2 linked regions of the Schizosaccharomyces pombe genome follow. The protein of the gene in region 1 purifies or fractionates together with the protein of each later gene. This does not show direct contact. Each region holds a gene or a part of one and is shown in the gene's direction. Other genes may lie near its edges.

What was found.
Region 2: the proteins of php4 (region 1) and crm1 purify together in Schizosaccharomyces pombe (affinity purification with western blotting, with the first as the bait; one study listed by BioGRID). This does not show direct contact.

What each region holds. Positions count from the first base shown.
Region 1 is NC_003423.3:1,912,968-1,919,609, reverse strand, and holds php4 (CCAAT-binding factor complex repressor Php4), read left to right. Parts: upstream 1-2,717; 5' UTR 2,718-2,872; coding exon 2,873-3,760; 3' UTR 3,761-4,235; downstream 4,236-6,642. Other genes in the region: SPOM_SPBC16E9.02C (CUE domain protein ), read left to right, coding at 1-1,449; fmo1 (flavin dependent monooxygenase), read left to right, coding at 6,131-6,642. UniProt on the Schizosaccharomyces pombe protein: Component of the transcription regulatory CCAAT-binding complex. Required for the reprogramming of the cell for iron use. Down-regulates pcl1, sdh4, and isa1 underlow-iron conditions.
Region 2 is NC_003424.3:2,800,501-2,809,794, forward strand, and holds crm1 (karyopherin/importin beta family nuclear export signal receptor Crm1), read left to right. Parts: upstream 1-3,423; 5' UTR 3,424-3,621; intron 3,622-3,887; 5' UTR 3,888-4,007; coding exon 4,008-7,244; 3' UTR 7,245-7,753; downstream 7,754-9,294. Other genes in the region: SPOM_SPAC1805.16C (purine nucleoside phosphorylase), read right to left, coding at 453-1,400; transport protein Ugo1, read right to left, coding at 8,042-9,294.

The sequences.
Region 1 (6,642 bases):
CAGCTTGAGGAAGACGAGAGATGTGCCAGAGAGCTTGCTAATCGTTACAACAGCCATCGTCCAGAACGTAGGCGCAAAACAAACAATGATCGTAGGAATTACCCTCCGCAAAACCGTACAGCAAAGCCCAATGACAACGATGGAGATGATTATTCGTTTTTTGAAGACGATCTTCCAGTCATCAAAGATACATTTATGCGTGGATTCCAATCATTTAAGCAAAGAAGTATGGAATGGGTGGAGAATATCGCTTCCAAATTTGATGGTGAGGAAGAAGACGATGATGATGAAAAGTATTCTGCACCTTCTAAAATTTATCCTTCTCCAAGAAGATCTACTGCTGCTACTTTGGAATCCGCATATGAAGAACGACCACCTTCGTTACCACGTCGTAAACCCTCTCGACCAGGAACAGCCATTACGCTTCCCCCATATGAATCTGATCCACACATGCTGAATGAGAAAGATTTTGAGAGACTTCGCTTAGAATCATCTTCATCTCCAATGATGAGGCGATCTTCATTGAACTCCAACCGTCGCTCCGTAGAATCAAGTTCTTCAGCCGCCTTTGTGGAGGGACAATCCTTCATTTTGGATAGCAATGGTGCGATTGAAGTCGCTAATTCTGCTTTTGCTCTCGATGATAGTGATCTTGAATCAGCTTACAATGAAGAGTTAGAGATGAAAAAAGACACAAGTAAGCCTACTGCAAGCACTAAGGAAGTTGTAGTGGAAAAAAAACCCGACGAGTCACGAAAGCAAGCCGCTCGCACGCTTGAGACCGTATCAGAAGAACAAATGGGATCATCCAATGCTAAATCCAAGGTACTAACATCTGAGCCAAAGGACTCTACCTCTGTTGAAGCCGAAAAAACCGAAACTGATGAGCCTGCTGTTGGTAAAGGAGCATCCGATGTGTCTGATACAGCTGAAATTTCTGAGAAAACTGAAGCCAAGAATGCTGATTCGGAAGCCAATTTAGAAGAGAAATCTGACGTTGGGGAAGAAAAGGAGAGTAAGGACGAAAATAACAAAGCTAGTCTTCATAAGGATGTTGAGGAGAAAGATACAAAGATAACAAATGAAGACACTGGTAAAACGGAGACCGATGTCAAAGCCAAGGAGACTGATAGTATAGAGGCCAATGACAAGGATGAAAAGACCGATAGCAAAGAAACTGAGGACAAGGTCGAAGAAACTGAAAGTAAAGAGGCCGATGTCAAGGCTAAGGAGACTGATAGTATAGAGGTCGATGACAAGGAGGAAAAGACCGATAGCAAAGAAACTGCGGACAAAGTCGAACAGACTGACAGTAAGGACACTAACGAGAAGCCTGCGAAGGATGATAATAAAGAGGCAAATGAAAAGGCTGAAAAAGTTGACAGCAAAGATGTTAAGGAAAAGATCGAGGAGGCTGCTGATCTACAAAATTCGGGAAAAGAGACTTAAGGGAAAGAACAACAAGGCACATCATGATAGGTTCAAGAGTTGTAATCAGCTAATGGTACTATATATGCCTTGAGTATTCAGGGTACGAGTAGCTTGAAGATTTAAATTTTGCTATTTTCGGTGTTCCTCAGCTTTACAGTAAATGTTTTAGCGCTGTTTCGATTTTTCTTATAAGTAATGTTTTTTCGAGCTCTTTTGTTTCATATTTTTATAATTGAATTATTAATAATCAATTAAATTTTTCACGACAATCGCAATCCCGTTGATGAATTTGCAAAGTAACTTTAATTTAAGATTGTGCTTGAAGTTTTATCGAAACCATTTGGATAAACTGAGTAGCTAAGTATCCATACATTCACTCCATCCTTGCGTGCATAGCAACCTTTATTCTTTTTACCACTACTGTACATGAGACATATGATGCTTACAAAAAAATGATATTCATTGAGAAGGCACGAAACAACGTGAATTATTAAAACAACGTATTTTAACTACAACAATAACTGAATACAACATAAATCAAACTAAAAAATGATATAAAATATAAAAACTGTACGTAGCATTCGGTCATCACGAGCCATGGCACGAAGCAACGACTTCACGATGGTTTTAAGCTATGCTGTCGGTCTCCCCGACATAATCTATACCGATTCCATGAAGAGGAAAAAGCTGCAACCATTAATACGGTTCTATATTATAACCGCGTTAGAAGAGAGCAGACTTTTTGACATCAGTAATTCATTATTTTGTGAGATGAAGCTTTGTTTTAACTCACTCACATTTCTTATATACTAGGAGTCAAAAAACAGTCACATGTGTTAGTGCACTTTCGTTTCATCTCATTATATCAAAAATATAAACAAATGTTAAATAATCTTCAAAGGACGGTATGACATGAGAAAAGCAGTGAGTCAGAACATTAATTTAACTCCAAAAAAGTAACATGGATAAGCATTACTATGATAGTTGGTGTGCCGAATGATTGTAGTATTACATAGCCAGAGCCCAGAGTTTATTAGGTCGATCGGTTTTAATCAGATGATGTCCACCATACCCGCGTTTTTTAATTGGTTCTGTAACTGAAATGATGGGTATTGAGAATGTATGTCAACAGCGCCTCTAAGCCGACCTGTTCACTAATCCGTTTTTTCCCGAAAATTGAGTCTTTAAAGATATAACGAGGTGTTGCATACCGGGTTAACAGTACAATCATCGAACCACACGGCACTTAGATCAGATATAATTTAATCGTATCTCTTTATCAGATTAAAACAAACCACCAACGACAAACGTTTGAAAAAGTGAGATTTTTAAGCTTGGTCAGTAGAGGCATTGGAGTATTGGAAAATAAAGATTTATATATTTTGCTAAAAGTGTAGTTCTGTACTTGATATCTCCTATCCCCCCAACTTTTTTTTTGCTCATGGAATCGTCTAAAAGTCCATCGGAAGTGGAAAAATCATCTTCTGCTTCTCCAGCACCTCAAAAGCCGATGATTCGCGTCTCTAAACAATGGGTTGTTCCTCCTCGTCCCAAACCAGGAAGGAAACCTGCGTTAGATGCTCTGGGAAGAAGAAAGGCACCTATTAAACCAAGACCTGGGCCGACTTCAGCTTTGTCGGTCGAGGAAGCCAAATTCCGTGTTCGTGAAAAACAATATCAGGATACGATCGGAAAGTTACAGAAGGAGAACAACGAGCTGCTTGAGCAGTTGGAGATGCTGCAGGCTCAGTTGAAGAATTCTACTTTGGATAGCCCCAAGGAAGTCGAAGTAAACTCTGAAGTTGTCAAGCCAGATTCTGCGACTACTGAGAATGAAAACCGTTATGTAAATCAGTACAATTATCCGGTCGAGCCGCCCTGTGCTAAGAATGCCGTTTATACAGAGATTCCCATTGAGCTAGATCCTCATGCCTTCTTGGGTGATTCGGCCAAGAGAATTCGTGTGGATAGTGACAGTAAAGATGCAAAGTCCGTTCCATCCGAAAATGGAAGAATTCGTGTATCTATGTCTCCCCAAAACGAAATTAATTTTACACCTGAAAACCCAGCAGTAATGGAGAAGATACGTAAACGTGGTGTTTGCAATAGTGTAGAAGGATGTTTGTACTCTGGAAGCCCTAAATCTGTTAAACGTGTCCGTGAATCCGAGGAAACCAAGGTTTATGCTCAACTACTTATTGACTTACACAAGTCCTCGAAGTCTGCTCCGATGTTAAAGGCAGGTCCTTCAATCGCCTTCAAACTTCCTACCATGGAACCAAATTTTAACGATGTTCGTCCCGTCACTTCCATATCCTCTTCTTCCTAAGTTTCCCAAAAGTTTTTGTCATCTCTCATCTCCTCTTGTTATTGCATCTCAGCAGCGACTTTTCTGTTTGTAAGTGATCTCCATTACCTTTTTCCATGGTACGGAATTTTTATTTTCGGACTTAATTATCTTGCTTCATACTATTTTATTCGTTGTGCATTTTCGTTCTTTTTGGATTTCTTTCTGTTAATACTAACGTTCACTACTGGTATTTGAACCAATACATTCAGAAATATTACAACATTTTATTTTTCGTGTTCTTGGTATTTGTTTTAAGAGTGTGTTTTTTTTTTACTCACTAGACTGGCTGTACGTCGTAAAGTATGTTTCCTTGACATATTCTAGTCTAGATCGCTTTGTTCATTACATTGCTTCCTTTTCTGTTATATATGTTAATTTCACTATATGTTTTGTTTTTATATATTTTCTGATTTGTATAGAAAAGAATAAATCTTTGTTATATTTTTACTCAAAATGTTCATAGCAAACATTTGACTTTACAAACTGCTAAGCAGTGTTTTTAATAAATTTAATGCTAAAGCCTTCACTGTGTTTATTATGGCTTATGTTTGAAGCTTCGTATTTCCAAATTTAAAAAGTGAATAATCTAACAATGTTAATATGCTAGTCAATTTTTTTTAACAGTGTGGTGTACCACTAGAATTTCTTCGTTTTGCAATTGCCCTGGTTGAAAGAAAACTTGCTAGAGCACCGAAGTTCTTGTGTACGGTAATCTTTTGGTGAGACCAATCCACTTTCGCATTCAAGTAGAAAGAGTTGTAGTGTCCTAAGGATCTTATATGTCTTTCTTTCAGCGTCATAATCAACTCATGGTTTTTTCAATTCAATTCAATCATATAAAATAGGTAAATTGCTAAAATTGATTAATTTCATTTTGTAAATTTGAAGAGGATATAAAACAGTGTGCGCTATTTCCCCTAATGATCATTTAATAAGTAGTTACAATTTTATATGAAATCCAAAATTACATATCGTCAATTACGATTAAAAATCGTTCTTTGTGATGTGCTTACAATTGAGCTTTTATTCATAACTTTTTTTCAAAACAAGTATTATGCATGTTAACTGTAATTGCATCAAAAACTATATTGTGCTGCCAATTTTAACCAAAATCCTATATGACTATCCTGGATGCATGATTTTTTTCGTAGAATTCTCTATTGTCAATTAGGGTGCATTCACCCCAATTATAGAACATCAAATTATAATTCAACTTTAAAAACTTTTATTTCATGTATTACTATATACTCTTTGAGATACATAATTGATAGTACTCTAAAATACAATGAATTTATATATGAGTATACCTCCCTGCAAATCTTAAAATCTTCTTGTCTCTGATTATAAAAACGAACGTTTGTTGGTATTATGATGATTTAAAGCATTTAAGTAATTATTTGGGTATTAAGCTATACCGTTGTAACAGCAAGAGCTTAATTGTTTCAACAATCCAACTTACGCGTTAGGCGGAGTCAGTAAGTCACCTAACTATATTTATTTGGGAAATTACTATAATCATTTACTTTGAAGCATTCAACATGCTTGAAAAGTATGAGCAGCAGAGACGTACTTTCTCTTATGGCCATTGCAAGAAGTGTTAGGAAGATAAAGATATATTTTTTTTTCATCAGCATGATTTCCTTTCAAAATGCCCTTACTAGATCTTTTAAACAACATTAATAGGTTCACATCTAATGTATTGCTATTCATTATCTGGAAGATCGCTTCGGTCTTTATAAGTAACTAATTCTTAAACGCTGTTATCATTGGACGCTAAAAAAATTTTCTCTTTGATAATCCGTTGCCAAGGTCAAATTTACATTCGGATATCAGCTTGATCTTAATTATTAAATCCATCAAGAGGTGTAAACTACATTTATTATTTTAATTTGCTCTAAATGAGAAATTCAAATGTCCCATTTTTGTCATATGGCTCGCTTATAACAGAACTTGGATTACTAAAATGTTGATCGGATGTTGTAATTTAGTCGTGCTTAATATTGAGTATGATGAAAAGATTGTTTAAAGTTGCGAAAAGCGGATGCGTTTTTGAATCCATAACAAACTATATATACAGATAGTGTCTGGCTTCAATATGTGTATCGCTAACCAGCACTTCTATTTTTTAGCCAATAAGCTATAGCTTTATCAGCGATTTCAAGGCCCCCTGGCAGATTGAGGACAATCGGAACGTGCAAAGATATAAAACGCACATAAAGTGTAGTTTTCATTCAATTACACTCCTTCACAATTGGATATTGTTTCATTCTGTTATTCTTTGTACAGAAAAAAAAATATCTTAATTTACTTGGTACTAATCAAAAAATTATCATTTTCTCTTTTGTTCTTATGTGTCTTCCAACAATTCGAAAAATTGCAATCATTGGTGCTGGTCCCTCTGGATTAGTTACGGCTAAAGCGCTGTTAGCAGAAAAGGCGTTTGACCAGGTCACGCTTTTTGAGCGAAGGGGGTCTCCGGGTGGTGTTTGGAACTATACAAGTACTTTATCAAATAAGTTACCGGTTCCTAGCACAAATCCCATTTTAACAACCGAACCCATTGTCGGACCAGCTGCTTTACCTGTGTATCCTTCACCTTTGTATCGTGATCTGCAAACTAATACCCCAATTGAGTTGATGGGTTATTGTGATCAAAGCTTTAAACCCCAAACTCTTCAATTCCCCCATCGACATACCATTCAGGAATATCAACGGATATATGCACAACCTCTGCTGCCCTTTATAAAATTAGCCACCGATGTCCTAGATATAGAAAAGAAGGATGGCTCCTGGGTCGTGACATACAAAGGAACGAAAGCCGGAAGCCCGATTAGTAAAGATATCTTTGATGCAGTCTCAAT
Region 2 (9,294 bases), on another chromosome or scaffold:
CGATAGTGGTAGAAGGATATCGTTACAATAAGAAAGCAACAGGTTTATTATCAAAAAGTTTTAAGGCAATATGACTCTAAATTAATAATTTAAGAAATTTGAAGCGAAATGTATCATTAACTATAAAAAAATAAGTCTAGAGGTGACCAGGGAACTTTGTATACTAAAAACAAATATTTCCTAATTGGTGTTTGGAAAATAACACAAACGACATTTAGGAAATATTGTCTAGTGAGTTCGTTTAAAGAAAGCAAGAAACGGTTATTGATGAGTAAAAGGATATTTTGGAAAAGATATTGAATGGCAACAAAACATCTAATTTACAGACATCAAAATAAGCGAAATGACTAGGATATATATCCTACGTTAGATAAATAAAATAGCTTAAAAGGATGTATAACAGATAAAGGAAATTTTTATTCTGGATAAAAAAGATTGTCAAAGAGGAGTGATTAAATAAAATTGACAATCGTCTCCACCATGGTACGAACATCGGCCGCGGCAGCGATACCAACTTCCAAAACCTCCAAGTGATTTGCAGCACCCTTAGACATGACATTCGAATCAACCTCCACTAAGTCTTTGGCAGAGGGGCTCTCTTCAACAACAACGTTGTTGGTAACCAAAGAAATGGCAAGAACACGAATACCACAATGACGCGCAACGACTACTTCGGGAACCGTAGACATGCCGACACAATCAGCTCCCATAAGAGCAAGCATTCGACTTTCAGCGCGAGTCTCAAAACACGGACCAGATACAAATGCATAACAACCTTCGTGAATTGTACGGCTAACCTTGTGAGCCTTGGCAGCATCGTAAACCAATTTTCGTAATTCTAAATCATAAGCATCCGATAATGGGGGGAAACGTACACCAAATTCGTGTGCATTAGGGCCTCTGAGAGGGTTCATGCCCGCGAGGCCAGGAAAATTGATGTGATCTTTAAGAATCATCAAATCACCAACTTTGAAACCTTGATTCAAGCCGCCAGCTGCGTTGGTAACAACCATGACTTCAACGCCCATGACTTTCATAAGACGAACAGGAAACGTGGTAGCTTCTATAGGATATCCCTCATAAGAGTGGTAACGACCAGCCAAAATCATAGTGGGAACGCGTTTCTCGCCCAAAAAGGCAAAGTACAATTTGGATGCGTGACCTGGAACATGGGAAACATGAAAGTGAGGAATATCTTCATAAGGAACTTCATAAACTGGAGCCGACAATCCAGAGGCTAATGTGCCCAAACCGCTACCGCAAATGATGGCAACTTTGGGCTTGGAAAGCTCTTCGGGGACTTGTTCAATGATGTATTCACGAGCCTCAAGCGCTTTAATGTAAGGTTCAGTATGATGGGGTTGCTGTTTTGCCTGGTGAAGAAAAGATGTAGCAGTCATTGTTGTTACAGAAGAGTTTCGAAAAAAAAAACAGAAATTTTGTATAAAAAAAGAAAGCAAGAACTAATATCTAAAAGGGAATTCTTTATCTTTAATATTTATTAGGCGTATTAGTAGCCAGGAAAAAGAATTTAAGGAATTTTAAAAATATGCAGTGGTGGGTAAATAGGGCCGATAGAATCAGTGTTAATTTGTTTTGAAAATTAGATGGGAAAATCGATAGCAATAACAATACTAACTGAAATACAAACAATAGAATGCACAGAGTTTTGAATAATGTGCAAGCAAAGACGAAGAGCTGGGAGTATCTTGGCAATTGACCTTTATAGAATATCAAAACAAAATAGTAAAAAATAAATAGAAAACGACGATTTTTTGGCACACACTTGATGCTATGCTTAATTTAATTTTGTTTTGTTTTTGTTTTTTGCTGAATATATGTGTAATAAAATTAATATTAGCCGTGAGAACAGAGTAATTGGAAAACACAGAATTGAATCCAACAATTGTTACAGGGAATTAAGTAAGAAATGGTCTATATAAATACTTCTACAAATGTTATTACTTCAACATATCACAGAAAAGCAGAAACCGGTATTACAAAAAGTCACCGAAATACATAATTTATATACGGGCTTTGGCAAACAAATGCGATATTTAGGACAGTGCTGGTCGGATGAAAGCGCCTATCAATTCAAATTTTCTTCGTGCTTGATAAGGAAATGTTGCAGATAAGAATAATGAAAAAGAAGAAAAAAAAAGAATAAACAAAAGCAAAATGTTCAACAAATTTGAAAAAAATTTAGTTCAACTGTAAATCAAAAACACGTTAATTTTACATTTAAAAATGTAAAATATAATGCGGCCAGAGAGGTTCGAACTCTCGCGTTTTACAACAGCAGGGATCAAGGCAGAAGCCTCTTAAATCTGCCCCCTTAGACCACTCGGGCATAGCCGCTTAATTGTACAAACTAATTAAATAGAGGTATATATCTATAAAAATAGTTGCGTGTACTGTAAATTGTCTGGGTTTATTAGAGTATATGTACACAACCTGACTAAAATCGTATAAATTAGTTAAAAAAAATGCATTGGATTTTTTATACCTTGAGAGCCATGCCAACTCCAAAGGTCAATATTTGGTTTAATGATTTTTTTTTCCTTCCCTTTTCTTTATTTAACACACTAAATGTCGGGTAACTGCGAGTTAATAACGAACATGATCAGTTTAATTCAATTTTCATTCTTTTCTATTTCCATATAGAATTGTGGCTGTAACCGCGAAGCATTTCATACGGAAAGTCGCCTTTATTTACATAAGCAACATCTTTGTTGTGTGGCTATAGGAGTTAAAGCAAAAAAGGCGAATTACTAAAGCACAATGAAATGGCAAATCTTTAGTAATAAGTATATTATTTCGTGCCGATGTTCCATAAACTTGGTTAAAATAATTTGGAAACATGATTCTAGCTGTAATTCAATTTTTTTAAATTCATAACAATTTTTAATTTACTGAATGATAAACTTTCCTTCTGTTTTGATTTACTCGTTGACTTGTAAATTGATAATTAAACCATAAAATACCTAATAATTCATAATAAAAAAATTTAAAAAAATAAATTGATGTTTTTCAAATGACCTGTCTTTGCTAAATACTTCAAAACAAACAAACAGAAAAATCCACGTACGACACATTTATTTCTGGTTTAAACGCGGACGTTACGATCAAATTCTTACCGCATTTCTCCCATTCACGGAAACGACCGAACGTCTTACCGGAGGAAGTAAATTTTGTTTCAAAACTAATACCATTTTTTTAAAAAATTGCAATCTGCTGATACACTCAGTTTTATCGCCATCATTCTCGTTCCATTTTATGTTTACTTCATTCCCATCAATTTCTGCCTATAATCACGTTGTTAAATTTCCTTAAAATAGATAACGCAAAACGATTGGATACGCTGCATGCTTGCTATTCTTCTTCGTGTTTCTTTGCCAGCCTTGCGGCCACACCTTTTACCTCCAACACAACACTTGTTCTTTTGCATTTCTACCCTGGGACGTTAGGCAGTAGCCTTTAACTGTATACATTCTTTCATTCTCTTGTTTCCATTGAGTACAAGACAAATTTCTATCGCGTGAAGCATCTCTTGGGACGAGGAATTTCGTTATAAACAAGAGAATTTGGAATATTTATTTGGTTTTTATTTATAGTAAGGAGGTAAGCACTTTGAACGCTCGTGTAGATACGTGTTATTTTCCTTGGTCTTCTTTTAGGAAGGATCTTGTTATCTTTCGATTTCCTGTTCTTCGATCTCTTGTTTGAGTTAATTATTGTTTTTTCTCTATTATTTTTGCAAGGGAGGAGTAATTAATCAGCAAGTAGGAGATTAAAAATTTATATTATTTTGTTTCTATTCGATAAAATTAATTTTTCTTCTACTTTTTTTTATTTTTTTTTTCAAATTTCTAACTTGATTGCTGAAGTCCTTTATACATATACAATCGCATAAGGTTGAGGTAATTATCCTTTTCTTTTTACTTAAGACATTTGTTCAATACGTTGCCAACCATCAATTTACATTTTTTGCTTTTTGATTTGTAAATATGGAGGGCATCCTGGCATTCGATCGCGAATTAGACGTTGCCCTTTTGGATCGTGTTGTCCAAACCTTTTACCAAGGTGTCGGTGCAGAGCAACAACAGGCTCAACAAGTCCTGACCCAATTTCAGGCACATCCAGATGCATGGTCGCAGGCTTACTCCATCTTGGAAAAATCAGAATATCCCCAAACTAAATATATCGCTCTTTCCGTCCTTGACAAGCTTATCACCACTCGTTGGAAAATGCTTCCCAAGGAGCAGCGATTGGGAATTCGCAATTATATTGTTGCTGTTATGATAAAGAACTCGTCAGACGAAACTGTCCTGCAACAACAAAAAACTTTTCTTAATAAATTGGACCTCACTCTCGTTCAGATTCTTAAACAAGAATGGCCTCATAATTGGCCCAACTTCATCCCGGAAATTGTCCAAGCCAGTAAAACAAACCTTTCACTTTGTGAAAATAACATGATAGTCCTTCGTCTTCTGAGTGAAGAAATTTTTGATTACTCAGCTGAGCAAATGACTCAGCTCAAAACCAAAAATTTAAAAAACCAAATGTGTGGCGAATTCGCCGAGATTTTTCAACTATGCTCACAAATTCTCGAACGTGCGCAAAAACCTAGCCTAATCAAGGCTACCTTGGGAACACTTCTCCGATTTTTGAATTGGATACCCCTTGGCTATATATTTGAAACAAACATTGTTGAGTTAATTACAAATCGATTCCTAAATGTTCCTGATTTTAGAAACGTTACCATTGAATGTCTTACCGAAATAGCTAGTCTTACTTCTCAACCTCAGTACAACGATAAATTTGTTACAATGTTTAACCTTGTGATGACCTCTGTTAATTCTATGCTTCCTTTACAAACTGATTTTCGTGAGGCTTATGAAGAAAGTAGCACAAACGAGCAAGACTTTATCCAAAATTTGGCTCTCTTCCTTTGCGCTTTCTTTAGCTCTCATCTTCGACCATTAGAAAATCCTGAAAATCAAGAAGTCCTTCTTAATGCTCATTCCTACCTTCTTAATATCTCGCGAATTAACGAGCGAGAAATTTTCAAGATCTGCCTGGAATATTGGTCAAAATTAGTAGCTCAGCTTTATGAAGAAATGCAGCAAATCCCCATGTCTGAAATGAATCCATTACTTAATCTTTCTAGTCCTACATCTCTCATTTCTTCTAATCCTAATATGTTAGCCAATCTTCCTTTAAGGAAACATATCTATAAAGATATACTTTCAACTCTTCGATTGGTTATGATTGAAAACATGGTCAAGCCCGAAGAAGTCCTCATCGTCGAAAATGACGAAGGTGAAATTGTTCGTGAATTTGTTAAAGAGACGGATACAATTACCCTTTATAAATCTATGCGTGAGGTTCTTGTGTACCTCACTCACTTGGACGTGGTTGATACTGAAATCGTTATGACTGAAAAACTTGCACGTATTGTTGTTGGTACAGAATGGTCTTGGCAAAATTTGAATACTCTTTGTTGGGCAATCGGCTCAATATCCGGTGCTATGAATGAAGAAATGGAAAAGCGCTTTCTTGTTAACGTGATTAAAGATTTATTGGGCCTTTGTGAAATGAAACGTGGCAAAGATAATAAGGCTGTTGTTGCCTCTAACATTATGTACGTTGTAGGTCAATATCCTCGCTTTTTAAAAGCTCATTGGAAATTTCTCAAGACCGTCGTCAATAAGCTATTTGAGTTTATGCACGAATATCATGAAGGTGTTCAGGATATGGCTTGTGATACATTCATTAAGATTGCTCAAAAATGTCGTCGCCATTTTGTTGCTCAACAACTGGGAGAAACGGAGCCGTTTATCAACGAAATTATTCGTAACTTGGCCAAGACGACTGAAGATTTAACTCCTCAACAGACTCATACTTTTTATGAGGCGTGCGGTTATATGATTTCTGCTCAACCTCAAAAACATCTTCAAGAACGTCTCATTTTTGACCTTATGGCGTTACCCAATCAGGCCTGGGAAAATATTGTCGCTCAGGCTGCACAAAACGCTCAAGTTTTAGGGGACCCTCAGACCGTTAAAATATTAGCAAATGTTCTAAAGACAAACGTTGCTGCATGTACTTCTATTGGTTCCGGTTTCTATCCTCAAATTGCTAAAAATTATGTAGATATGCTTGGTCTTTACAAGGCTGTTAGCGGTTTAATATCAGAAGTGGTTGCTGCCCAAGGAAATATTGCTACCAAAACTCCCCACGTCAGGGGATTACGAACTATCAAAAAAGAAATTTTGAAATTAGTAGATGCTTATATAAGTCGAGCGGAAGATTTGGAGTTGGTCGGAAATACTCTCATTCCTGCGCTTTTCGAAGCAGTGTTGCTTGATTATTTACAAAATGTTCCTGACGCTCGTGATGCCGAAGTTCTTAATTTGATAACCACCATTGTCAATCAACTTAGCGAACTCCTTACTGATAAGATTCCTCTTGTTCTTGATGCTGTTTTTGGATGCACCCTTGAAATGATTAGTAAAGATTTTTCGGAATACCCCGAACATCGTGCAGCATTTTTTCAACTTTTACGCGCCATTAACTTGAATTGTTTCCCCGCTTTGCTCAACATCCCGGCACCACAATTCAAACTAGTGATCAATAGTATTGTATGGTCCTTTAAGCATGTTAGTCGCGACATTCAAGAAACCGGACTTAACATCTTACTTGAACTTATTAATAACATGGCGAGTATGGGACCTGATGTTTCAAATGCATTTTTCCAAACTTATTATATTAGCTTACTACAAGATATATTGTATGTTTTGACTGACTCTGATCACAAATCTGGCTTTAAGCTTCAAAGCTTAATTTTGGCTCGGCTTTTCTATCTGGTTGAATCAAACCAGATTACTGTACCTCTCTACGATCCTTCTCAATTCCCCCAGGAAATGAACAATCAATTATTTTTAAGACAGTATATCATGAATCTACTAGTCACAGCTTTCCCCCATCTTCAACCTATCCAAATCCAAGAATTTGTACAGACAGTGCTAGCTCTTAATCAGGACAGCATCAAATTTAAACTTGCTTTACGTGACTTTTTAATTCAATTGAAAGAATTCGGCGGGGATAACGCTGAACTTTACTTGGAGGAGAAAGAACAAGAGTTGGCTGCTCAACAAAAAGCCCAACTGGAGAAAGCTATGACTGTTCCTGGTATGATCAAACCTGTCGATATGCCTACTATGGAGGAGGAAGAACTATGATATTCTTCAGCAAAAACGTATTTAAGCTTAGAACTTTAAAATATGAAAGGAATTATATATTTGGTATCTTTTACTATTGACTTAATTGTGGATGTTATTTATCCCTGTTACTTGAGAAGTTTACTTAATTCCTTTTTTTTCTTTTTTTTTTTTTTGAAAAGCAAGAAGGGTTTTTGACATGACATGGCCCGTAATTCAACGTGTTAGATAGCAAAATGATGGCGCCAGTTGTTATTGATTGCAATTCAAACTATATAAAAAAGTAATAAAAAAGCATAAAGTCTTTAGAGATTCAACTTTCCGTGCAGTGTTGTAAATTAGAAAATTAAAGCATTGTAAGGATTTGGGTTGCCTCATTTTTTATACTGTTTATAAATTGAACGAGCAGCTATACTTGAATAACACTATGAAGTCTCGTGTAAGAGATCTCAATGCGACGTTGAAGTCCTTTTTATTGAATGCTGGCGTTATGCAACCTTGCTAAAGGAAACACCAACGTATTTTCACATAACTACGTTTTTGCTTCTAGAAAATGTATTATTACCTTTAATAAATTATGTAGCTACTACTATTCCGTTAGAGAATACGGTAAGAAAGAAAAACGAAAACATTAAACATAAATCAAACTTACAACTACAAATATGACTATTCGTGTAGTAATTTGGAATAAAAAAAATTCCAAATTACAAAACATCACCTAACTAAAACCTTTTTGAGAATTCCGTAATTTACCATGTGAACTTTCGTCTCTTCTGACTTTGTCTAATAAACAGACAATCAGACCCAAAACCTGAATACTAAAATTCAACTTCTTCACGCAAATTAGAGGAGATGTAGTTCAATGCTAAGGTACTCGACATTCCCCAAATACCCACTCGCCATCCACGATACAAACCTTCTATTCCAAATTTACCCGGATCTTCTTCGCTTAAAAGACACCATATGGTACCGACGATACCAGTGTATTTGCCTACGGGAACGATAGTTTGGGGTGGAAGGTTGCATTCATACTGGGCTTGTGCTCTTCGAAGTACCATTTCTAAAGGGCATTTGAGAAGAAATTGAACGGCTGAAGTGCCCAAGCCAACCATTGCATCAAGTGTAGGAGATGAGCCCAAAAAGTTGCGGAATGTTAGTGGAAGCACACTCGAAACAAATGGTGGTAAGCTGACATAACAAACTGTGGGTAAAATTAACGATGAAGGGCAGTAAAAAGGCAATGCTTTCAAGCATTGTCTGATAGTAAGAGGTTTAAATTTTTTATGCGAATTGCCAGAAGTTTCAGAAGCTGAAGACAAATAGGAAGATGAGGAAATGGGGAAAAGAATTATTTTTGTTCTGGCAATATCAAGGGGAGATAGAATAAGAGCAGAGATCGCAGAAGTAATGGATTTGATGAAAAGGGAAAGAAGAGGCCGAACAGAATCTATAGGTGAAATAATGTTTGGATCTGCTATTGCGAGAGCTCCAGATAATGTTGCCGAAAGCCAGGACTGTAGGCCGGAATAAAGTAAGTTATGCAAAAAGCTGATTGTATGACCTTTCCATAAACCCCTAGCTCCTTCTTTCTCCCATAGCTCACTAATGATACTTTTAATCGAAAATCTTTTCGAATGAATTGTATAGCTTCTCTCGATGAGATTCGAAGGATCAGTTACATAGCCAGACGCATCGACGCAAAGTTTCTCAGCTAGCTGTTCTGTTACTGCCTTTTCTGTGGTAGGTGTTTCAAAGTAAGCATAGATTTCGTGTTCATCATCACTGAGACCTTCCTGTTCTGTGCCATCGGGAATATCCTCATCATAAGGCTCCTTTGTTTGTTTCCCATCACGCTCAATTTTAGTTCGTTTTGGTAAATATTCTTCTACTTGACAGACAGTTTTTGCTACTTCCAATGGCTGTACAAAAAACGTCGTTAAATATTTGGTCACTAGAATACTTCTGAGTGTCTCAAAAATCTCACTCTTGCTTATGGTCGGTTGCGTCTCAAACGTTGGTTCTGGAGTTATCGAAAAAGTAGGCTCAACATTGTTAACCACGACATATGGTC